Neodiprion lecontei: one gene and its partners. The protein of the gene in region 1 interacts with the protein of each later gene in a biochemical or structural test. Links are inferred from orthologs where the notes say so. Each region holds a gene or a part of one and is shown on either strand. Other genes may lie near its edges. The genes, in order: GTP-binding nuclear protein Ran, importin-11, importin-5 and probable nuclear transport factor 2.

Region 1 (4,707 bases):
GAAAGCTTCATGTGTATAATCGTATACTTTCGATTCGTCGATTTCTCTTCCATTCCTCTTTAATGCGAATTTTTCAAACTCACCTCCGCGAAGAATTCCGTCATGAAATCATCCTGCCCTCCCACGTTGACGGACACCTCGTCCGCCACGTCGTCATCGTCCGACTGAGCCTGTGAAAAAAGTAAAAATTTTCAATTATCGTCATAACGTACACGTGCATTTTAAATACGTAAAAACTGTCACTTCAACGTCTCTGCGGAGAAAATTTTTCAAGGTATTGCGAAGAAGAGGAAGCTCGATTCGCTCACGCAACAACCAGCCGAGTAACCGGTGATAAGAATTCTCAACCGATAATCAGTTTCCGGTCAAGTCAAGAACTGATTTCACATTTTTCGTACGGAAAAGGATACGAGAATCATACTCGGAAAACCCTGCCAAACGAATGCCTAATATTTCTAACCCAATGCGCACGAATAATACGATAAAATGATATCCCGGAGCTATTATCGTTTCAGTGATAAAACTGACAAGTTTACTGTGTATTTGTGACGCCGTCGGGTATGTGGAACAGCTTTTGAAGGACGGAAGAATGTGCCGACGGCCTTCTCGGAGGATTTGACATTCGAGTTAGCACAGGGTTGTTTTTCATCGTGACTCTTTCTCTCGATGCGTAATCAAAGTACACAAGTTGTTTCTTCGCTGCAGTACCGTGCGAATCACCGATATAAATGACGCAAAGTTTTTCATCTACTGATCTAGCGTTGTTGTTTTGTAATTTTTACAGATATTCAACAAATCGGAGGGGTGAAAAAATATCTGGACACTAGGTATTGTACTCGGAATAACGGAACGATTGAGTAATCAACGGTACTGTGTACAAATGTGAGATAATACAGCTCTGTGTACAGATGTGTACGCGCACTGTGTCAATACGACGAAAACCGTTCGTACTTTCGTAGTAAACGATATTTACGAACATTTTCCTGCCAATTGATTGGATTCGGTGAATTAGCCGGAAATTGCTACAATCAAAAGAATACAAAAAAAAAAGAGAAGAGACGAATCTGATTCGAGATCTGATTAGAGCCGACTCGATATGGAGAGAACTAAGCGTCGTTTCCTAATACGGTTTGACAGTGGGAGGAAGAGAATAAAAAACGGAAGAAGGAAAATATCTTTTGTTACGAGATTGACAGGTAATGAAAGCGACAAAGGGGTGGGGCATAGGCAGATAAGATGACAGCTCACTGGCTGCATCATAGAGATATATGGAGATATATATATATATATAGAGAGAGAGAGAAGGAGAGAAGTCAGTCAGCAGCTGAAATAGGCCGATGACGCGGACCATAGACACCTGTCACCTAAGGATACCGGCGAAGCGGTTGCCAGGACGTAGGTGATAAGTGTCCTGGAGCGATTTTTGCACGTTTAAAACGACGTTAACCTATCGGGCTCAATTCGACGCATTGTTTTTCATCCGGCAACCGCACTATCGGGGTGGGTCGAGCCGTGACAAGCGTATCTCGACTGGCATCGTATATTCGTACGTAATGTAACACGTTACGAGGTTGTGAACGGTTGTCTAGCGGCTCGGCAGCAGGAGCGAGGTGCGTGTAATTGTGTATAAACTCACCGCGACGAGGGCCGCTAATCTATCCTTGGTCATGTTTTATCACGTGTCGCGAGTCACTGGGCGTAGAGCAAAATCCACCTAGTAAATAATCCCATTCACGATTTTATCCATGTAAGAGGAGGATGCACAGCCACTAAAAACTAAGGAAACGGACACACTAACCGCGAGACACGATCATAAAATCGATACGTCTCGCGATTCGCCTGCTTCTGCAGTGCCGTCGCCGATTAGTGCGCATGCGCAGCTGACGTCAAAACGGCGCACGTCAGATGTCGCTTCGCCGATTTATTTCTCATCAGCACAACCGTACCGTTTTTTATTTTGCAAACACACCCTGTTCATAATTGTTTTCTTATTTTTTCGCTTCTAACCGCACCACTTTCATTCACAACCTATCGACCCTCGCGTCCGACGAATGACGAGGTCCTCTACCGCCGTTCGCCTACCCTGAGGAACGCCATTGTGAACCATAACGACTGTGCGAGACGGTGAGTTTTATCGCCCATTTTCACGTACATCGTATTATACCGGGAAATTCCCTTGCCGCTCTGAAATATTCGACATTTTTCACCAACGGAGCACGGATATATTTCGAAAAACGTTGAACTTGAGTCGGTTACCGCTTCTCGGCGATACCGGTCTTTTAACATCAATTTCCCTTGATACAACCGAGCGGCGCCATTTCTACGCTTAACGAGATCATTTCTCGACCGTTTAATGCCGGCGTGGAACGCACGCGGCGGAAACCGAACCGACCGGCATCTCTGTGTCGCGATAAACTCCGAAAGTTCAGGCCGGCGTTTGGCTTTCGGTTAGGCATCATCGCGATCCTCGATCCGTCTTCATAGTCAGCGTCACTGTCTGTACCGATGATACATATATAGAGGTTGGATTAACAAGTCACGTTTCTCGCGCGTGATTGTCCCACGTAGACGAATATTTCGTTATAGTTATTTCTCGCCACGCGGATCTTCGCTTCCGCCCTGTATTTTACCTCCTTTAATCCTTGGATAATATTGTTCACAGTGAGGCAGGAACGTTGGAACAATATCAGCCAAGATGACTCAGGAACCCGATATGCCCACCTTCAAGTGCGTCCTCGTCGGCGACGGAGGTACGGGCAAAACGACCTTCGTCAAGAGGCACTTGACGGGTGAATTTGAAAAGAAGTACGTTGCGACACTGGGCGTCGAAGTCCATCCCTTGATATTTCACACGAATAGAGGGCCGATCAGATTCAACGTTTGGGACACTGCTGGGCAGGAGAAATTCGGAGGTCTTCGAGACGGTTACTATATCCAGGGACAATGCGCCGTTATCATGTTTGACGTAACATCTCGTGTCACCTATAAAAATGTACCAAACTGGCACAGAGATTTAGTTAGAGTCTGCGAAAACATTCCTATCGTACTATGCGGCAACAAGGTTGACATCAAGGACAGAAAAGTCAAAGCCAAGAGCATCGTATTTCACAGGAAGAAGAATCTTCAGGTATGTTGTTCTTTCTGTTGATGCAAATTTACGCAGACTCCCTACCTCGATCTCATAGCTGCTTCTGTTGTGTTCGAACATCTGTGCAAACTGTTTAAAATAATTTTGATACTTGAAATGTAGAAAAATGCAATTTGTTGATATTTTGCATTTGATTTTAACAGTATTACGACATCAGTGCGAAGAGTAATTACAACTTTGAGAAACCGTTCTTGTGGCTGGCTCGCAAACTGATCGGAGATCCTAACTTGGAGTTCGTCGCTATGCCGGCTCTCCTGCCACCTGAAGTCACAATGGACCCACAATGGCAGCAACAAATTGAAAAGGATCTCAAAGAAGCTCAGGAGACAGCGCTCCCGGAAGACGATGAGGACCTTTAGTTTCATTACCATCAATCAATGCTGAAGGCCTTACTGCGAGGTCTTGGCGAGCGCCTTACTGCACGTCATGTGCTCGCCCTTAAATGTTTAATGCGAATAAAATAATTATATAAATATCGGTCGAAGGAACTTTCCTTTTATGAAAATTCCTTTATCATTTTTCTTTGTAATTCATATCGCATTACTTGAGTATCCAACTAAATAGAAATTTTTTTTTTTTAAGTATTCTGATAACATTGTAGTTATTCGATTATGAAATTAGCGCGTTTTAAAGTTGGATATTTTTGTGATTGTTCACTTTAAAATTTTTTATTGTGAATAATGCATCGACTGCATAATTTTTAACGTCTACTTTTTTCTGCAATCATTTTTTTTCTTGTATGCTGGTTACAATTGTTGTATTTGTGGATACTAAAATACATTTAACTTATTTAATAATCAATGGTTTTGCTTTATTTTCAAAATTAGAACCGTATACTGAAACATGTGTTAAATTCTTGACTTATTTTTAATGACAAGGATTAATTATAACATGAATCGTAATATACACGAAAGATACTTTTGCAAAGAAAAAGTCCTTCGATTGCATAAGAATGCGTGTTAGCTCACTGTGAACTAAACTGAATTTAAAATTACAAGAAGAATGGTTCAAAAAAAAAAGTAACAATGGTATTTATTGGGAGTAACCGGCTACTTTAGGGATTGTCTGTTGTCTGCGAGTGTGTGCTTGAAAGGGTAGATTATTAATAAATAATTACTAAACTATGTAATATCGTTCCATGAATTGTACTCGTATGGACAGAGTATGTTTGCGTCTTTCCACGTTCTTGAGGACTGTTTACTATTTTTATAAGCGAAAGTGTATGTATGCTTTGTTCGGCTTGAATTTAAATTGTAACAAAAATTACCTACAGTTCTTTTTTCTTCTGTACTCGAACCAGTTAATTTATTCTATTCGTTTTTTATTTTTATTTTCTTTGATTAACGTAAATAGAAAATTTGTGTGACAGACTTCTTTTCACAAACTGTGTGGAAAATTTCGATTACTTCTTTTTGTAACAATGTTAACATCACTTTAAACATTACATTATGTAGTAGTATTGAATTTTTGAACGTTGTAATTTCGATCAATTCTTCCTTTCGTTATCAATCAATAGAGAAGGATTTATGCGAAGAGAAAATTACACCGCTAATACATGT
Region 2 (8,024 bases), on another chromosome or scaffold:
GGTTCACTTAGACACTGCCTGAGCATGGCTAGTAGTTTTGGAATTTCATAGATCTAAGTGCAAAGGTGATATGTCGTACCTGAAGCGTAAGTGGGGTGATCAAACGCTGAATCTTCGGTGCCTTATGACGCTCCTTCTTACCTTCCTTGCGCACCGGCCGTTTGACTACAAATTGACGTACGTCATCATCCTTAGTCAGGTTAAACAGCTTGCGGATTTTGCTTGCACGCTTAGGCCCAAGACGACGAGGTACATTCTTGTCAGTCAATCCCGGAATTTCCTAATTATAAAAAAAAAACTCTTGAAATTGAATAAACAACGCATGAAAGTAATTTATTGGCTAAACCTGATCTAATTCATGAATAATTGTAATCGATTGTATTCAAATACAAGTAAAAAGGTATTTTGTGTCATTTGTACACTAAGATAGAGTGCAAAGATTATACACAATTTCTCAAATCTATAAATGACCATTTCATTTTCCACGCACATGAACGCCCCCAATAGAATTTGTAATAATTGGACACTGCCTGAGCGTGGATTAGAGTTGCCACAAGATTGTACAAAATAAAGAGATGTAAAGATTTTCAGATGTAAAATAATAAATTAATGTATATGAAAAAGTTGATTTGCAACATTGTAAAACATGAGTGAATAAAAATAAACATCAAGAATCATTATTATGATATCCACCAATTTGGAAAGGAAAAACCCTAACCAACTAAAAATCATATTTTGCCTCACTATACCAAACAGAAAATTACCTACATTAATGAATATTCTTAGATAATTTACTAAATTCTATTACTTGTTCCTAACCTGCAATAGAAATTAACTTAAACTGATTCAGGTGTTAGCTGATGCATAATGTTAATGACAATATATTGGATTTAGGAAAGCCATTTTTACCTGCTCGCCTTTTTTCACAATAACGAGTGCGAGAACTGAGAGATTGGCATCAACAATACAACCTCGCACTGATTTACGTTTACGCTCACCGTCACGACGCGGTCTGTAGCAAGAATGTCCTTTAGATAGAAGCAGACGTACACGACCTGCAAAAAAAGAAATAATTGCTAAATATTGTCAGAGCACTGGATTTACCAACAGTGGAATTATCATGTACCATTGGTCAGGACACCCTGCTTCATGGGGAAACCTTGCTTGTCGTTTCCACCAGCTACGCGTACAACGTATCCTTTCCATTCGTCACCTAGTGTGTCAGCTTCTACTTCAGCACCCATACGCTTCTCGTAGAAAACTCTGAGCTTGTGCTCATCCGTTATTTCGAGTAGTTTTTGGCATCCTGTTGCCGGAAACGACACGTTCAGCTAAAAAAAATTATCAAGTATATTGACCAATGAAAGTCGAATTGGTAAATTTACGATCAATATCGATCGCTGAATGGAACCCCCAATTGACGCGTTATTAAATTATGGCCTACAATGACTGCGATGTAGTGTCCAAAATTCAATATAAATAGGTATGTCATTTGGGGCTACATGGGGAATTGTTTATAGGTTAGATTCCGACTGACGGGTAATATATTTCGAAACGTGTATCAGTGACATTCGATTGCGTTTGTTACAAATACGTGTGACATGATATAATTTTGAGTGTTAAATTTATCATAGCGTAGTTTAATATAAGGAATAAATTGTGGTTTGGCCACAACGATATACAAGCCCCGTGTCCCGCACTAATCAACAAAATTTGCAAAAATGAACTTGTTTCGGTTAAATAAAGAAAGATAAGCCATATCTGCACAGAACTATTCCTTGTATATCGCCCTTCAATTAGCGCACTTTATTTTTCTGGAGTATTAAGGGATTCTTGAGATATTATTGGATTTCTACCTTCATGGTGACAAGAACTATGCCGCGCCACGAGCCATGTAGTAAGAAAGAACTCCGGTGAACACCGGCAGAGTGCGCTTACCGGAAGTTTCGAGGGTGGAGGCCACGTGACCTCCGACGGTCAAATCACAGTCGCCAACGGTGTAAAATAAAAGATCTTTGGCTTTGCCCAAAATCCTAAATGCCGACTTGCGTTGTGACATTCCGATTAATAGAGAACTTGAAGAGGAAATTTCTTATTTATTAAATTTGTATGTACGTAAATATCTATAATAGATGGAGTGTTTTGAACGTAATTCAATCAATTGCATCTGAGCAAGGTAATCGGGTACTTTTGTAACACGTTTTTTTCTCAACAAAATACTGTGTATAGGTTAGTTCCCGTGCCACCCAATCTTTACCGCACATCGAAATTACTCTGAATTTTGAAAAACAATCTAACTTACCAAATCCGCCTAAATTTCGGCAATAGATTACGATGAATCCCAGATGCTGATATTTATAAAACAATGTTATTCCACGAGCGGGGAATTAATTTTGTTCCAAACGCTTATGCATACATTTGTTTATGAATTATTCGATTTAAGCTTCTAGTCATGAGTGATTTAAAAGAATTTCGATGTAAAAATAGATCAAATTCTCAGTATTCTTTGTCTTCTTTATGAATCTGCATGATCGTACTTTTCCTTTAAATGGTAAGCCACTTTGATTTCATTTACAGAATTCGTATAATTCGTGAAAAAACGAAGATATAGTGTTGTTCGTTCGAATCATTAACTTGCACACGCAGTGTTCATGTCCGATGATTAATATATTCGATATCCTCTTGCACATTAATCTATATAACAAATAATATATATCTTAGTACTGCCACCAGCTGTTACAAGGAGTTACAAATATTTTTGCGAGTTATAATGTGCATGTCCAAAAATAACATTCATTACTTGCAAGCTGCAGTTTATTTATATAGTTACTTTCTCAGACAATAACCATCCTTAGACTTTTACAATAGTAAAAGTTGTAGGGTAAATATTATCTGATCACTAAACTTATATGAGCGGCAATATAATCTTGAATTATTCATTGAGTATATGAATTTTAAAATCATTTTCTTCGGTAATTGCTTTTCTGTTTACATGCAAATCCTTAAGAATTCATTGTATTTTTTCAGAGCAACGATATGGATGCAGCAGTTGTGGATATTTTACATAAGGCTGGTAGCCAAGATCCAAATGTACTCAAGCTAGCTGAACAGACTCTGAAAGAATGGGAAACACAACGTGGATTTTACACAGCATTATTTGTAAGATTCTGAATCCTTTAACTATCTGAAAATTCTTCGAATCAGCTATAAATGATCTGCAGAGGCATGCTAAATCTATGAAAAATGTACATGTAAATTTTGAATTGCACATGTACACCAGTATCAAAAAATTTGAGGTACCTGCAAAGTAGCGCACTTAAAATTGTGCAGTATGATAAAATTTTGATTTCGTTTACAGAATGTTTTTTCGAATCATTCCTTGGACATTAATGTAAGGTGGATTGCTATATTGTATTTCAAGAATGGCGTTGACCGATACTGGAGAAGAAATGCGCCAAAGTGAGTATAGATTCTTGTTATTATAAGTAAACTTGGTGTTCCTCACTCACTTTTCATATATACATAATTAACATGATGTTTTTGAACAGTGAAATAGCGGCAGATGAAAAAGAGTTTCTTCGACAACATTTGATTGCTGACTTCAACGAGCCTGTTAATCAATTGGCTGTACAGCTGGCAGTTTTAATAGCGAAGATAGCTAGGTGAGCCTTGATTCATTTTGTTCATAACCAGTTCTACTAGTTTTCATATTCGAACGGCACTACAATGCATTACTTGCAAATATATGAGTATGGTTTTGGTTGTAACTGAATTTAGGCAGCACCAACACACAAAATCTATTTAGATTCTTATGAAATTCTTTTGATTCCATAGGTATGACTGTCCCAGAGAATGGAGCACATTGGTACCAACTCTTTTAGAAGGAGTAAGAGGAGAGAATCCATTGACGCAGCATAGAGCGTTGTTGACACTTCATCACGTTGTCAAAACTTTAGCATCCATAAGATTAGTTGCAGACCGAAGGTTGTTTCAGGAATTAACAGCGAACGTGTTTAATTTCATTTTAAATTTATGGAACACTTATACCGAATCATTTCTGGTATTAGCATCGAACTCAGCTAGTCCAAATCAAATTCAAGAGGCATTAGAAAAAGCTTTGCTTTTACTGAGAATCCTCAGAAAATTGGTTGTCAGTCCATTTAACAAACCGTCCGAATCTCAAGATGCTATGATGTTTCTAAAAGTTGTTTTTGATCGAGCACGGAATAGCTTGGAGTGTAGTAAGTATTCTGACTTACTTCTCGTAAATGCACAAATAGATTTCGATTTTACATTATTTAATATCTGATTTTTAGGGAAAACTTTAATTTCACGTGGAATACAATTGGATGTGTGCGATAAATTTATAATTCACCTCACTAAAGTTTTGATAGGAGTACTGGAAGTGCATCCATTCTCCTATGTCGAACTCATACCTACATCATTAGAGTTCTCTGTGTTTTATTGTTTCACTGAAACTGGCCAAGAATTGGCATTCGAAAGGTTTATCATACAGTGCTTGAACCTGATGAAAGGAATATTGCTATGCAGTGACTACAGACCTGCCAAAATTATACAAGGCATGTGGAAGTTGCTACTTTGTGCGTTTTATATTATAGACACTAGATATATCACTAATTAAAACCTGAAATTTCTCATTTCTTCAGAAACAAAAAACCCTCTTACTCTGAGGGCATATCAATTACGACAGGAATTTTTTACAGTCGAGACACTGACTGAAATTTGCTCAAGATTGGTCACACATTATTTCGTTTTAACTCCAGCTGATTTAGAGCAATGGGATTCTGATCCTGAAAACTTTGGTAATGTTGCAACACCAAGAATTTTAATTATTACTTAACATCTACCAGATTGCATTACTGAACTTACATTGCACTGCACTGAATTATTTTCTAGTTGTTGATGATGGCGGAGAGGCATGGAAATACAGTTTGAGGGTAAATAATTTTTTTAAATTTATAATACCCTATATAGCTTTTAGTTTTAATCGTTTATTGCATACACTAAGGCTTGAAATCTGAAAAGTGTACATAAGTAAACTTATTGATCATGTTTATGATTAAACAATATTAACTTATTACAGCCATGTACAGAATCAGTGTTCTTGGCTGTTTTCCATCAATTCAGGGATGTGCTTGCATCTGTATTAGTGGAACTAATGCAGAGCCACCATCAGCCTGTAGATCCTAATAATTTACATGCCATTCTTCTGAAAGATGCTGTTTATAATGCTGTTGGTCTTGCAGCATTTGACTTATATGATGAGGTAATTTACATTCGATTATTCTATCTATTGATGAGAATTTATAAATGAAAATCTTGTCCAAAAGTATGCTGACTTTTATGTCACTATTCACCGCGCATTGCATTATATTCGATTTTTTGGACTATCCTTCTAATGATTGATCGATTTGTTCTTTATTTCAATTCCATTTCAGGTGAACTTCGATCAGTGGTTTTCAACTACACTGAAACAAGAATTGAAAGTTGTAAGCAACAATTATAGGATAATTAGAAGACGCGTATGTTGGCTCATTGGGCAGTGGACCGGTGAGTGTGTCGGAAAAGGGCTTCAATATTTTCATTTACACTACTTGGCTAACTGATAATTTTATAATAAATAAATCAATTCCCAGGTGTCAAACTGAGTCCAGAACTGAGGCCTGAATTGTACAAATTGATGGTAGAATCGCTGAACCCTGAAGAAGATCTTGGAGTAAGATTAGCAGCAAGTGATGCCTTGAAATTGGCGATTGATGACTTCCAATTTCATACTGACGAATTTTCACCTTACCTAGAACCTGCATTTTCGTTACTGTTTGCTTTGCTTAAGGAGGTCCATGAGTGTGATACAAAAGTAAAAGGCTTTCAGCATATAATACTCATGCATCAAAATTTCAACAGGAAAGTTTAATGCAATCAACATTTTCGATCTAACGATGTTTCGATTTACAGATGCATGTTTTATATGTATTATCTTTCATGATCGAGAGAGTGGGCTGTGGGATAAGACCGCATGTAGGGGCGTTGAGTGCCTACATACCAGCTCTGTGGCAACAATCAGAGGAGCACAATATGCTCAGGTGTGCAATAGTATCCACCCTGGTACACCTCGAGAAGGTTGGTTTGTTAACAAGTCAGAAGTGTGAAATATGATTTAAAAAAAAGTTCATTTAGATATGTATTCCTATAATTAAACTGTTCCTAGGCTCTTGGATCTGAAAGCGTTGCATTGCAGCCAATGGTCGTGGGTGTAGTAGCGATGAGTTGCGACTTGACACAGGATGGCCACGTTTATTTACTGGAGGATGGACTAGAGCTCTGGTTGGCACTCCTGGAGAATGCCCCTGCATCTACACCTGCGATAATGGATCTCTTCAGAAATATGCCTGCCCTATTAGGTCGGTAATACCATCGTGAAATCAACAAGGTGTGCACGCCTAGCATAGAGAATGCGGCAGGTTGCGATACATCAATTGTTAACATTAAAGTGCAATGTCTAGCCATCAGTTTCTGTATTTTATACTTTACGCGGTACTTCAGACATTATATTACCGCAGTATGATTAGCGCGTTTATGTATGCGCGAAACCTCGTCTTCTATTTAAGAACAACAAAATTCAATGAATTTCGTATTTTTCTGTGTAGAAAGATCCGCGGAAAACCTAAGGCTATGCTTGTACATAGTACAGGCGTATGTATTACTGAGTCCTCAAGAATTTCTGGGTGATAGAGGAGCTGTGGTGGTAGCTACTTTGGGCTCAATTATAGGAGATTTACGATCGGAAGGAATAGTAATGGCAATGCGACTAGTCGAAACGTGTTTACGAGCTTTGTCACATCAGGGGGCACAACTCATCAAGCCGTTATTAACAAAAATATTCGAGTAAGTATTATAAACTATCATCTAAAAATCACTTTGCCAAATATTGATTTCAATTTCATTACAGGAGTGTCTACAAAGGCGAGGAATACCCAATGGTTATGTCAATGTATTTATCGATAGTTGCTCGCGTTTTGTTAGTATCCAGGGATATCTTTGTACAGGTAATGAATGAATTTCAGTTTTAAAAACTGACCAATCATTATATTTGTGCATATTATATTTCAGGTGATAGGAGAGTTATCTAGACAAGTAGGTGGCGGTGAATGGAGTGAAGAGGCAGTTCTTGGTAGAATGGTTTCAATCTGGGTAAACAGAATGCCTCTTGTCTCGCAATTAGAAAGACGTAAACTGCTGGCACTTGGTCTATGCTCGTTGCTTGGCGCTGACAGTCCACCCTGCGTTCTTCAACATTTTCCACGCATGGTATCAAATATTGTTGAAGCCTTGAACGATATTACAAAGATCGACGACATGGGCTGTCCCATCGAGTAGGCAGTTATTAATTATTCTATTCTTGCATGCCTCATTTTTCTCTATATTAAAATTCGATTTTATAAATGGCATATATTTTTCTATCTCAAAGACAGTCACCAGTTTTGGAAATGCGTACCTTAGTTTATACAACGATTAAATTATTTCTAGAATTAATCAACTAATTTTATGTACACTTTGAAAATATCCAAAGTATTATAACGGTTGTTTGACTTGACCTTAGCTCGCTGATGATCAGTGATCAGCCAAGTCCCTCGCAATACGAAGATGTAGATTATGAGACGGAACATGAACAACGAAGAAGAAGACTAGCATTTGGAGATCCGGTACACAGTGTCTCTTTGCAAGACACGCTTCAAGCTCAAGTAATTCTATTATATATACTCAAAAAAATGTTTTGTATTTCTCGATTTCTGTCCATGTATCATTTAACAATATATGATTTTCCATTGATTGACAATTTTCAATATTGCAGCAATCGTTAACAATGAATGTGATTGATTTTCAGCTAATCGCGCTTCGAAGATTTGTAGGAGAGAGTCAGTTCGATCAAATGATGCTCACTCTAAATTCTGATACTGACCAACAGCTCAAGGAGTACATATCACTCTCGAGTTGAGCAGCAC
Region 3 (4,738 bases), on another chromosome or scaffold:
AACATAGCTGCTGACTCCACATGATGTGTACATCGATTGCAAAGATAAAAAGATTGACAAAATCTCACCTATATTTCCAGTCTGTGTTACTAAGCATCGTTGGAATGTTCTGTACAATTTGCGGCAGCATCGTCTTGCCGCCAAGGCCACATGCCAGCCTGTCTAAAGCGCTCTCAGCAACGACGTTATTGCTGTCGTTGTCTTCTTCGATAATCTCATCAGAAAAGCTCCACTCCTCATCTTCCTCAAGGTCGGTCATCATCTTGAGAACGAGCGGCACCAGAGCGGCGATGTACTTACCTCCAACTTTGCGCACCATGGCTGGTGCGGTTTCGGCCAGTGTAACCAAGACTTCAAGCGCTAGCTGCCGCCAGGAGTCTCCCATCTCTTCGTTGGAGAATATTTTCATGCACATCTCCATAATGTTTTCCAGCTGGGGTCGCAGGAACTTTGGTGTCGACTCTGCCAGGTCGATAAGAACCTTGATCAAAAATTCATCATCTTGCTTCTCGACTGACTGCGCCATGACCTGGACCACTGCTGGCAGCAGCTCTGAGAAATGTTTCTGGATGTTTGTCTCCTTCTCGTGCAGCATGATGAAGGCGCCGATCGCCCGGACTGCTTGAAATCTCACCTATATTTCCCCGTAGAGTATAAGCGATGTTAAAAAAGTTTGCTTCGGAATATATATACATGTACGAAAATAGAATGAAAGTAAGAAAAGCATTTGTAAATAATCAGTATTTGTATATGGATCATTTATTTGCTCCGTATCTGTCTGTAATTTAACACTCAACAAGTTACAGTCATCAGAAAGCAGATATAATTTTGGGAGAAATTGTGAATAGTGGATACAATTTTACATCCGCTAACGTATCTTCCTCCCGATATATATGCATTATATACATGCGACTCACTTCGTAATTCGTTGCATCCAGCACAGACTGCTGTAACATCTGCTTTATTAGATCCAAGTAATGTGCTTGCTGGTTTCCGAAAACACCAGGTACAGACCTAAGTAAAAAAAATAGTACATTCAAGTTATAGTCAGTTGTTTCAGTGCCAGAATACGTCTCAACTTAGAACAAAACAAATCTTACGTGAACATGCGGAGAGCGCTCTCTTTGAGGGCAGGGACTGGCCCATTGGCACACTGGAATAGGAACTGAAGAAATTCCGGCCACTGATTGTTTCCGTCATCATCGATAAGATTTCGTGCAACTTCGGCAGCAACTTCGCATACCTTACGTCTGATTGTATCAGCTTGTTCCGTTTGAACAGAGAGTAAGATTCTCTCCTTCAGCTGAATTTGAGCTTCTGGTGGAATCTAAACAAGAAATTTTTTGAGACTGTTGTAGCAGCGACATGATGTGTGGTCCAAAGTGATTTGAAATATTCGTGTGGTGGTGTATGTTTCGAAACTATGACTACGCAATGAGAAACACGCAGCCAACTCTCAGAAACGCCTTACGAGGGCCTCGTTATCCCAGCTGTCAAAACGACAGATGGGAGAAAGACTGGACTAGCAAGTTCATCTGCCATGGGTGTAACGCTGTCAAACTCATTAATGGAAAATGACTGCTGACTCCACATGGCAAGCTAAAACGAGGATGCAAACGCAACACTTATGCCCATGGATATTTTTATCAAACTTATTCTAGGCAAATGTCAAATGGTCAATGCAGAAAAAATTAGGCAACTAGTTTCTAGTCAACAAGACTAAGTTGGTCAGAGGCTTTGCTTTGCTGATTAGTTTGGATGATTGAAACCAAGTGATATTTCACTTACTTTGGGATAAAAATCCATGAACTCTGAAGAAAACAATCTTCGAAGTAGGACTGCAGCCATTGCGCGCATTTCCTCGGCAAGTGTAGCATTGCAGATCGAGCCAAGCAAGAATGTCACCTTATTCTCCACTGGCAGGCTGTTGTACGCTTCCTAAAAAAACAAGGGGTTACAGGGGTTACTTATAAACTGATCTGCGCTAAACAAATCATGTCTTGTCTTTAAACTATGCATCACGTCAAGTTGAAAATCAAAGATTGAAATGACTTCTATCTCTCACATATCGTTGTGCATACATATGGTTCCTGACAGACACATATCCATGCACCTTCTGCGGTTCCTGTACGCACATACGAATAGGGAGTAAGAGTTTTTTATCAAGCCATCACGCAACATATAGCATATATCAATAGGCAGTATCACCAAGATCGTGTGAGTCTGTCATGGGCGAGGGACACGGTCCGATCATGTGGACAGAAGGCGAATTCGGGAATTGCGATGAGTAGTGAGGTGGATGCGCGAGGCGCGCGAATATCTCGCGACATGTACGTATATATAGACTCAGGGTGCGTGACTGTGCCAAATCGCGCGAAGCGCGTGGCTCGGGCAATGAATTGCGCGTCGGTGATCTTGAACGCCGATGATGCGCTTATTGGGAAATTGGAATCGGGGCTTAAGGGATACGGCGGCATGGAGGATGGCATGCGGCGTGGCCATGGCCGTGAGTAGGAGCGGTTTGGCGGGCCGCGCGGCACGCACCACCATTTTGACCTTTAAGCGAAAACCGGGCCACCTGTCAGGCCTCGAAGAGTCATTAAATATAAGTAGACGCGGCGAGGGTGTTGCGAGACGTGCCCGAGGCGGCGGCGTTGGGGCCAAAAAAGAGCGACGGGGACTTGCGAGACGACCGCATGTTAGCTTTTCTTTCGTGACAAACACGTTGCCGACAGGCTTGCAGCTGCGTTGTATCGCTTGTATTTCAAAAGCAACGACGTGTCCCGGTCGAACTGGGACGTCGGCTTCGCAAAGGGGAAATAATGGACGCCATTACGTACCTCGGCTTGCGTCCGGACATCGTTGTCGGTGCTTAGGAGTGTGTTTAAAAGCTGTTGGAACTGCTCGAGGTCTGCCGCCATTGTCACCGCCGAACGAATGAATCGCTGCGCAAGCACCTCCGAGTCGATCGTCATGCGGCGACACCGACTTGCCGCTAATACCACGTCGGAAAATTCCCCAGCTCATCGCGGAGAACTAACCGAGAACGCGATCTGTAACGCCACCTACCCGATCACCATGGTATGGCCAGAATTCCTCCAGATGACACTTCGGGGATTCTAGTTGGATGGGCTATGAAGTTCAAAATTTAGGTTCTCTTGAAATTCACTGGGGGCCTTTTCCATACTCAGGACAAAGACGATCGGATTGTGTTGGACGTTGAGTGAAGAATATAAAAACAGTTGCTATTATGGGCTTTGGTGTGACAAATGAAAATCGTCATGCGCTTGCGCTCCCTGAGATGTTCCGTTGACTGAAGAATATACAGTTGCCGTAATGGTATTTGGTGTTTAAGCCTAGGCCAGTACTTAGCCTGTGTGTACTTACCAACTTGTTGGCGATACAAGGAATTAATAATGAGAATAAATTTCTTCCGAAATTCGTAGCAAAACAGTGATTCAGTTAAAGTATAGGTACTCGAGAGAAGAATGTATACATAGATCATAAATCAGAATAGATCAGATGTAATAATGATGCAGAGACCGAAAAGTATGCTATAAGTATGTGCGGTCCATGTAAGATATTGATATGTATTACGATTAATACGTGATGCATACTATATATTTTATAATTTTCCAGCAGACAAACTTTATTATCTACAATAATACGGCTATAACATGAAAATAGAGGAGTTATTAATTTCGAAATGGGTTTCTATGCGACACACGCTCGATATATTCCATAACATCAATATTCATAATTATTCCAACAACTTTTCATTTGCTCTCTCGATCTTGAATTTTCGTAGACGTAGAATAGAAACGCTGATTTAGCTAGTCGCGAGTGAAGTATCTACGTTGGGTAGAGAAGCAGAATTGTTTCAAGAAGTGTTCGTATAGAAAAAAAATCGGAGTAACTGTAATACATCACGGATGCGCTAATTTTGATCGAGATGAAATGGATGCTCCGTATATGAGACAGTATTTAACGCAGTATCCTGATTTCAAGACCTAAAGAGGTGATTGTCGGCGATTTTTTTTTTTTTGACAGGGAGAGAAAGAACGAAGTTTCTTTAAACTTCGAGTGTATTTTAACACACATGTGAAGGGTACGAGCAAAAATTTTTATCATCCAACTATCGTAGAACGACAGCGTTATTAGCAGACCCGTAACTGAAGAATATATGTCTTTAGTCAACGGCTGACCATCGAAGGACCTAGCCGCTTGAATCGGCAGGAAAGATAACGTGCGTATTTCTTGTCTGTAATGTGTAAACTAAAATCATGATAAATCTCGTCATATCATGCATCATACATCATACATCATACATGGTATTAAAGTTCAAAACCATAGTTTGGATGATCGGATTTTCAGAAAGTGACGTCTCCTAAAATTTTTTTTCTCTTGACGTCATCGATCTACAGTAATCAGCTAGTCGAATTCGTCAGTCTGGAAACAACCGCGCAGTAGAGCGGACGTATGAAAATCGCGTTCCGCAGATTTCGGGTACCGGGTTCTCTACCTCCGGGATCCTGCGCTTCGGGTCCGCTTCCTCGTGCGCCTCGAGTTCCAGGACAAGTGCTCCGTAGTTTCTACGCTCCTGGTCCGCTACCTGGTGGAACGCAACTTTCAGGACAAGCGCTCCGTGGTTCCTGCGCTCCAGGTTCGCTACCTGGTCAAACTTGACTTTTAAGACGAGCGCTCCGTAGTTTCGGCGCTACAGGTCCGCTACCTGGTG
Region 4 (6,213 bases), on another chromosome or scaffold:
TCAAGTTAATTATTATAAAACAGATAAAGGTGAATGGTACCAGAATCAGAAGAAACTTGACCTGTGCAAGGTTTAAGTAACTCTAAAAAAAAAAAGGATTCCGATCATTGAGAAACTTGCAATAATACAGATGATTATTATTCTGCACGGATAAAAGCAGTACGTCACTTAATAACAGGTCGTGAATTCATTCATATGATTATAGGATGATACATATTTTATATTTAACGTACAATTTCTAATTATTTATAAAAATACATAGGCCAATACGGTATTACAGGATATCTTTTTTTTTTTTACTTTTGGATTTTAAACTTAATAATATTTTCTACAGAAGAATTTCACGCTAACGGCCGTTATAACTTTAAGGCTATTCATAGAGGAAAAATAGTGAAAAATGGCGAGGGATGAAAAAAAAAAAAAAGGTTCTGATAGTATACGAAAGATGAAAGAAAAGTAACTGAGAATATGGGAGCCATAGCATTATGAATGAGGAAATTGAATAAACAAAATAATTATTGAATCCTGTTTATTGTTAAAAGATGGTTGTGGCCACGTTTGTATAAGATAAGCAGGAAATTCCTTGTATAAAAACTGTGGTATCTCTGAGGATAATGAGCGCTTAGTGTGCGATGACGAAGAATTTCAAAATGAAAGATTATTGGCTCACTTATCTTAAAGCTGGAAGCGAGCGTGGCTCACTGGTGAGTTTTATTAAATATTTCTTCTCTTTGTTTCTCTGTCTTTGTTCCAATCATCTTTTACATCGAGCGTGTCAGAAAGTAGCGAGAGATCTCACACAGTGTCGTGTATCCCAAGGCGGAAGATGTCGTGCTGACAAAAGAAAGAATTTCCCAGTGGCTTGAGCACAAATATTTGGGAGAATGCATGTGGTGGATCTTCGTCTGCCTAAAATGACAATTCAATCAATATTGTACAGATAAATTTCTTCTCGATCGTATAAAGAAGAACATTTTTCTGTATTCTAACAGAACCTTACCTAATGCTAATCTCATACGCCATGTATATAAAAATTCTGTTATTTAACATATTTTAAGGACAGTTGCTAGCTAAGATCTGTTTTAGGCATTATTTGCAAGTGAAAAATATAATAGAGTTGAATATGGATAATAAATCATGTATAGTTTCACAACTTCTTAATGCAAGCATAAGCAGAAGCGTCATAATACGTCTACGCAGCATCAAATGCAGAGCGTTATGCTAAAACAAAACGAAATTATAATCGAGACTGAAGAGAACAGAAATCAACACTGTGAAATTAATAGTTTTTACCAAAAGTATACTGAATTTCTCTTTTACAGATCTTAAAGTTTTCCAGCAACATGAGGAAAGTGTTACGATTGCCTGATCGGATATTAGTATAGAATATCAGATCATTATAGGATGAGGGCAGTTATTTTATTTATAATCGTCTGGGTTGAGGATGCTCAATATTGAGTAACAGGTCTGTGCTTATTACAATGAAAAATATTAGTTGAACATGAGGCCAATGTTAATCACTTATAAAATAGCGTACCCTTAGTTACAGGACAACAGTGCTTTTATGAGTGTTGTTTTACAATTTTCTAGGCGCCATCATACGCTAGTAGCATGATAGAGTTTATTACAAGTGGAACGAAAAATTGATATTTCTAATAAGAAAGCTCCGTAAAAAAAAAAAAAAAATGATTGATAAACGGATAACTGTTCTAAACCCAAGAACTGAGGTAATACTGAAATATTATTTGCTTGCCAGATTGGAATGCTAAAAAATAGAAGATACGTGTTGAAACAATCCATTAAAACAATCTTTTTTAAAAAGGAAAATAAAATAATAAGTTGATGCGAATCAGAACAAGCCAGGGGGTGCTTGCGTTAACAGAAATAAAAAGCAGAACGATAGAAGAAGGCTGAGCTTGCCTGTGCCCCGTCATGAAGATCGATGGACAAACGATGTCAGACATCTAGACAGTGTCGTGCAACGCGAGTCTGAAGATGTCGTGCTGCACGAAAAAGCTGGTACCAATAGCCTTCAGTACAAATGTCTGGATGTACGCGTGGGGCTGATCCTCGTCAGTCTGCCCAATCATCAACAATCACTGACTCAGTTCAATGTCTGATCTTCGGTACACGGACATAGATATTAAGGATAGGTGATGAAACACTTCTCAGTGATTGATAACATCTTTACACCTTTATATACCGATATGGAAAAATTCCTTTTTTTCATGCAATACGATACGCACGTGATAAAAAATTTGTTTAAAGATGAATTGACCCCACTTCGGATGGATGTAAAACGTTAACATTATCAACCTGGCCAGATGTTATTATATATCCTAAAAACTGAATGCCCAAACATTGGAAGGTGCATTTCGCAAATAATTCAGCAGCAATAAAAGATAAAACACTGTCTTATTATAGACAAATATAGAATAGGGTCAAAAAGTTTTATACCGCCAAAATTCTACCATGAAAATAGATTACAGCGAACGATTTAACTGAAGCTCAAATCAAGCTAATTTGTTCGCCACAGGTAACAATAAACTATGTATTCAGAGAAATACAATCATAACCGACAATCTGATTGAAGATATAGATATTGTTATGGCAAAATGTATATTCTAGTTTAACAGAATTAGCAGTAGAGTGGAAACTTGGACTATTTTACCAAATGTACGGCCAATTCCGCATCATAATTCCAAATGATAGCTAAAAAATCTTAATTTGTAAGTAAATGAAAGGCAAAATACAAAAATACATGAACAAATATTGTACAAAGCAAGCGATAATAATTATAATCAACGGAATAGATACACAGCTAGTTACATAGCTTTTCTGTAATGAAATGGTAAATTTATAAATGCATTCAGACCTAAATCAGTTCAAATTTAGCAACTGTTCCTTTTATTTATTCACTACCTGATCGTTTATTTGTTTATATTTTCTTCCACTCGATTTCAATGATCCTCTGTGAGTAATATTGAATTGTGAAATTAAATTAAAAGAATATGTAAACAATTTATAACACAGGGGCCTCTGCAGGGCCCAGCCGAAACGTCGGAAACGTTTAAACATGTTTACGTTTTCCAAATAATTAAACTCTCTTTACCTGACCGGAATTTTCGACTAACTTCATCTTCAATCAACCTCCTGGTCACGAATTTCTTCACATATGATATTTTAAACCGAATAAAATATAATCAAACAAGTGCCATTATGTGAAATACAGGGGAATCAGTTTACCTGCAACCTTCCAAGGACGTTGATCAATACACCTCCATCAAACATAGGTTGAGAGTCGATCGCAGTTATTATTCTATTAATTTTTTGAAAACTTAAGCTCTGAAATAAAAATAAAAGCAATTATCGCAGTTGAAGATAAAACAGTATGTGTAACAAATATTTTTATAACAACTTTTTTCTACTGTTATCACACCAGTTTAGTGTCAAGATATATCGAAATGCAATAAAAAACATTTGTGATCAGAGGGTGGTGCCCACTAAACTGTTAATTTCAAACTGACATGATTCGGAAGTTGCAAATTAAAAGGATATTATTTCTGAATAGCTCTCAACTCAACTGAGCATGAAACGAAGCCAGTACGATTACTTTCTGAGAACAGTTCCTGTCAAGGTTTACACGCTTTGTTTGAATGGATTATGATAAAAGAAGTTTAAGATTTAATCTATGACAGACCACTTTCATCGACAACAAGTAAACAAATGTAAAGTCAAGGCCAACTTTGTATACACAGTGGATATGCTAGATCTTTTAAATATCGGTCTACCGATTCTTTGAAGAAATCCTAAAACTACATCCGACGAGGCGTGAAACTGGGAACCGCAGGACTCGTTAACGCAATATAATACCATAGAGTGTCACCTTGGACACGGGAGAAATAATTAATCGTAGATTGGGTTGGGGTGGTGGGTGAACAGTACGTATAATAGGATAGTTTCATCTGCTTTGGGCGAGGTGAAGTATCAATAGTTTTTTATTACAACTTACAGTCAACTTCTCCATGATCTTAATAGCTCCTTGAATCTGTAATCCTTCGAAGGTCATGAAGGACGATTCTGTCTGTAAGGGTTAGGCGAGTTAACGATTTTGCGTAAGAATAGTAATTCATGTATGGAGGTTATGCGATATACGTTATACCCACATTGTACATATTTATTAGATTCGGCCTCTGAACTGGGTCGTCAAATAACGCGTAGTATTGTTGGACGAAGCCCTTCCCGATGGCTTCGTATGACGGGTTTAACGCCATTATCACGTTATTATTTACGTTCGTACCTATTATAAAATATATATCTATAACAACTATAATTCGGTTAGGTGGTTTAACCCGCGCCAACGATTAACAGTTCGAGAAAAATCCTAGGAAAGGGACAAAACAACGCCGTTCGACATCCCCTCGTGCCACTTGCCAAAAGCGGGGAGGAAACGATCAGCGATACCAAAATTATCGGTGATACCTACTTCGAGACTCTCGTAGCAAACGATAATCGAACGCTGATCTCGAATATCGACCTCTCGAACTTGTTCAAACCACGAAAACTGCACGACATGTCTGTATGCCCTGTTTTCCACTCTCCATATGTTTCGGTAATGAAAATACGGATACATAATTACCGAAATTAGATTCCTTCATGCTTTTGAGCAGTTTAAAGGAAACGAATAATTTCTTCATTTTTATTGTACACTTATCTACTAACGTCTATTACTTGACGAGAGCGCCTGGATTGCCTGGTCGAAAAGTGAACAATAATGTGATGCAGGTTGCCTGACATAAGGCTGTAAAGGCTCTGAATCAATTTATAATAAAAATCATTTTGCGAGTTGAATTTTATTTTTTTGAAGAAGAAATAGACTTCAGAATAAATGTCAACTGTAGTACGAAAGTTTAGTTTTACGTACCACACGTACCTCGTGAATTCTTATAGCTACGCTTAATCTAAGCTGTGCTTTCGAAAATATTATTTCACTTTGCCAAATCAAACTTAGCCGAGAATTAGGAGCTGCTATGCATGTATTAAATGCACTATAAACAAGATAGTTTATTGCTGATATTTATATACGAAAAAGAAAATTTTTCGCATAAAGAAAAAGGTTTAATACGTAATTAGAGAAAATAATAGTTGCAGCGCTATATTATACAGACGAAGTCTGGTTCTATTATTTTTAGATGCTGTTCGACCTAAATTCTAATTCGCTACAATTTCGTTGATTTTATCTATGTCTAGATTATGGAAGTCTAGACTAAAGTTTGTAGAATATTACAATAAAATCTTACAACATTTTAAATGCTGTACGTATTTACAATTGATTTCGAAATCTGTGTTTCTGTTAGGACGGGAAACACGCTACGTACTGCGATCTATCACGGCTAATATCAACGGATACTGATTCGTCACGTACGAGACATGTTTTCATTATGAATAATTGATGCGCTAATTGCGTGTATGCTTCGCTTTATAATATCTGTGTTATGATAAAAAAAATCATTCGCGCATTGAAGCAATGACTCGTACTTCCAAAACATGGATTACTCTAAAACGGTATTTAAGTAATTCTAATGTCCATGGACTTCGGTACGTAGTCGAAGATGGTCTACATTGGACTGAAAGGTACACTACGTTGAATTTTTTTTCAAGTGTTGATATACAATAGCGGACATAATTATTTTTCTCCTATTGAATCGCAGATTATTTTGGCTAGTCACTTGTGCTCTGTGCTGGTGGGGCTGTATAACAATGATCAACAATTCGTTGGATGCTTTTCTGAATCGATCGGTTGCGTTCACCATAGAAAGCACGTACCTCAATTGGCAAACGAAATTACCATCGCTTAGCGTTTGCATGCGTACCGTTCCAAAATCCCTGATCACCGCTAACTCTTTGTATGTTTTAAAAACTGAAAAAATAAAATGTGTCAAGGTTTTGTAAAAATTGTATATTGGATATGGTGCGTTGAGTAGGTAAAATTTTTGTTTTTTCGTTTTTTAGACACAGTAAAAAATTTGGTTCCAAAATAAATCCCTACGCATGGCGCTGGCTATTTTCTGGTATCACCAAAAAATCCAGTAAACAGGTTACAAACGAATTTACCAAGTTGACTTCTGACGATATTGTCAGTCTTTTCACGGAGGTGAGCTACTGTACTCTCATAATATCTACGTGAATTTTATCTGAAACTGAGTGTCAATT

Evidence for each region.
Region 2: the proteins of GTP-binding nuclear protein Ran (region 1) and importin-11 form a complex in vitro, tested with the Homo sapiens proteins (2 studies listed by BioGRID). The link is inferred for Neodiprion lecontei from reciprocal best matches to the Homo sapiens genes RAN and IPO11.
Region 3: the proteins of GTP-binding nuclear protein Ran (region 1) and importin-5 form a complex in vitro, tested with the Homo sapiens proteins (2 studies listed by BioGRID). The link is inferred for Neodiprion lecontei from reciprocal best matches to the Homo sapiens genes RAN and IPO5.
Region 4: the proteins of GTP-binding nuclear protein Ran (region 1) and probable nuclear transport factor 2 form a complex in vitro, tested with the Homo sapiens proteins (3 studies listed by BioGRID, with this or other methods). The link is inferred for Neodiprion lecontei from reciprocal best matches to the Homo sapiens genes RAN and NUTF2.

Annotation. Positions count from the first base shown.
Region 1 is NC_060261.1:38,788,096-38,792,802, forward strand, and holds GTP-binding nuclear protein Ran, read left to right. Parts: upstream 1-1,969; 5' UTR 1,970-2,124; intron 2,125-2,184; exon of another isoform or gene 2,185-2,522; intron 2,523-2,662; 5' UTR 2,663-2,695; coding exon 2,696-3,127; intron 3,128-3,291; coding exon 3,292-3,507; 3' UTR 3,508-4,205; downstream 4,206-4,707. Other genes in the region: syntaxin-1A, read right to left, coding at 84-170, 1,637-1,669. UniProt on the Homo sapiens protein: GTPase involved in nucleocytoplasmic transport, participating both to the import and the export from the nucleus of proteins and RNAs. Switches between a cytoplasmic GDP- and a nuclear GTP-bound state by nucleotide exchange and GTP hydrolysis.
Region 2 is NC_060265.1:24,089,127-24,097,150, forward strand, and holds the start of importin-11, read left to right. Parts: upstream 1-1,997; 5' UTR 1,998-2,176; intron 2,177-3,027; 5' UTR 3,028-3,036; coding exon 3,037-3,159; intron 3,160-3,358; coding exon 3,359-3,459; intron 3,460-3,548; coding exon 3,549-3,662; intron 3,663-3,834; coding exon 3,835-4,241; intron 4,242-4,316; coding exon 4,317-4,580; intron 4,581-4,667; coding exon 4,668-4,823; intron 4,824-4,917; coding exon 4,918-4,958; intron 4,959-5,104; coding exon 5,105-5,287; intron 5,288-5,459; coding exon 5,460-5,571; intron 5,572-5,657; coding exon 5,658-5,878; intron 5,879-5,976; coding exon 5,977-6,141; intron 6,142-6,229; coding exon 6,230-6,422; intron 6,423-6,668; coding exon 6,669-6,906; intron 6,907-6,970; coding exon 6,971-7,067; intron 7,068-7,131; coding exon 7,132-7,394; intron 7,395-7,621; coding exon 7,622-7,763; intron 7,764-7,906; coding exon 7,907-8,017; 3' UTR 8,018-8,024. Other genes in the region: 40S ribosomal protein S6, read right to left, coding at 80-280, 910-1,055, 1,127-1,331, 1,857-1,862. UniProt on the Homo sapiens protein: Functions in nuclear protein import as nuclear transport receptor. Serves as receptor for nuclear localization signals (NLS) in cargo substrates.
Region 3 is NC_060264.1:23,246,878-23,251,615, reverse strand, and holds the start of importin-5, read right to left. Parts: upstream 3,004-4,738; 5' UTR 2,976-3,003; coding exon 2,841-2,975; intron 1,939-2,840; coding exon 1,789-1,938; intron 1,328-1,788; coding exon 1,101-1,327; intron 1,015-1,100; coding exon 918-1,014; intron 888-917; exon of another isoform or gene 758-887; intron 635-757; coding exon 69-634; intron 1-68. UniProt on the Homo sapiens protein: Functions in nuclear protein import as nuclear transport receptor. Serves as receptor for nuclear localization signals (NLS) in cargo substrates.
Region 4 is NC_060264.1:3,873,296-3,879,508, forward strand, and holds probable nuclear transport factor 2, read right to left. Parts: upstream 4,456-6,213; 5' UTR 4,275-4,455; coding exon 4,167-4,274; intron 4,085-4,166; coding exon 4,013-4,084; intron 3,346-4,012; coding exon 3,247-3,345; intron 2,079-3,246; coding exon of another isoform or gene 1,965-2,078; exon of another isoform or gene 1,921-1,964; intron 910-1,920; coding exon 796-909; 3' UTR 513-795; downstream 1-512. Other genes in the region: sodium channel protein Nach, read left to right, coding at 5,761-5,906, 6,013-6,154. UniProt on the Homo sapiens protein: Mediates the import of GDP-bound RAN from the cytoplasm into the nucleus which is essential for the function of RAN in cargo receptor-mediated nucleocytoplasmic transport.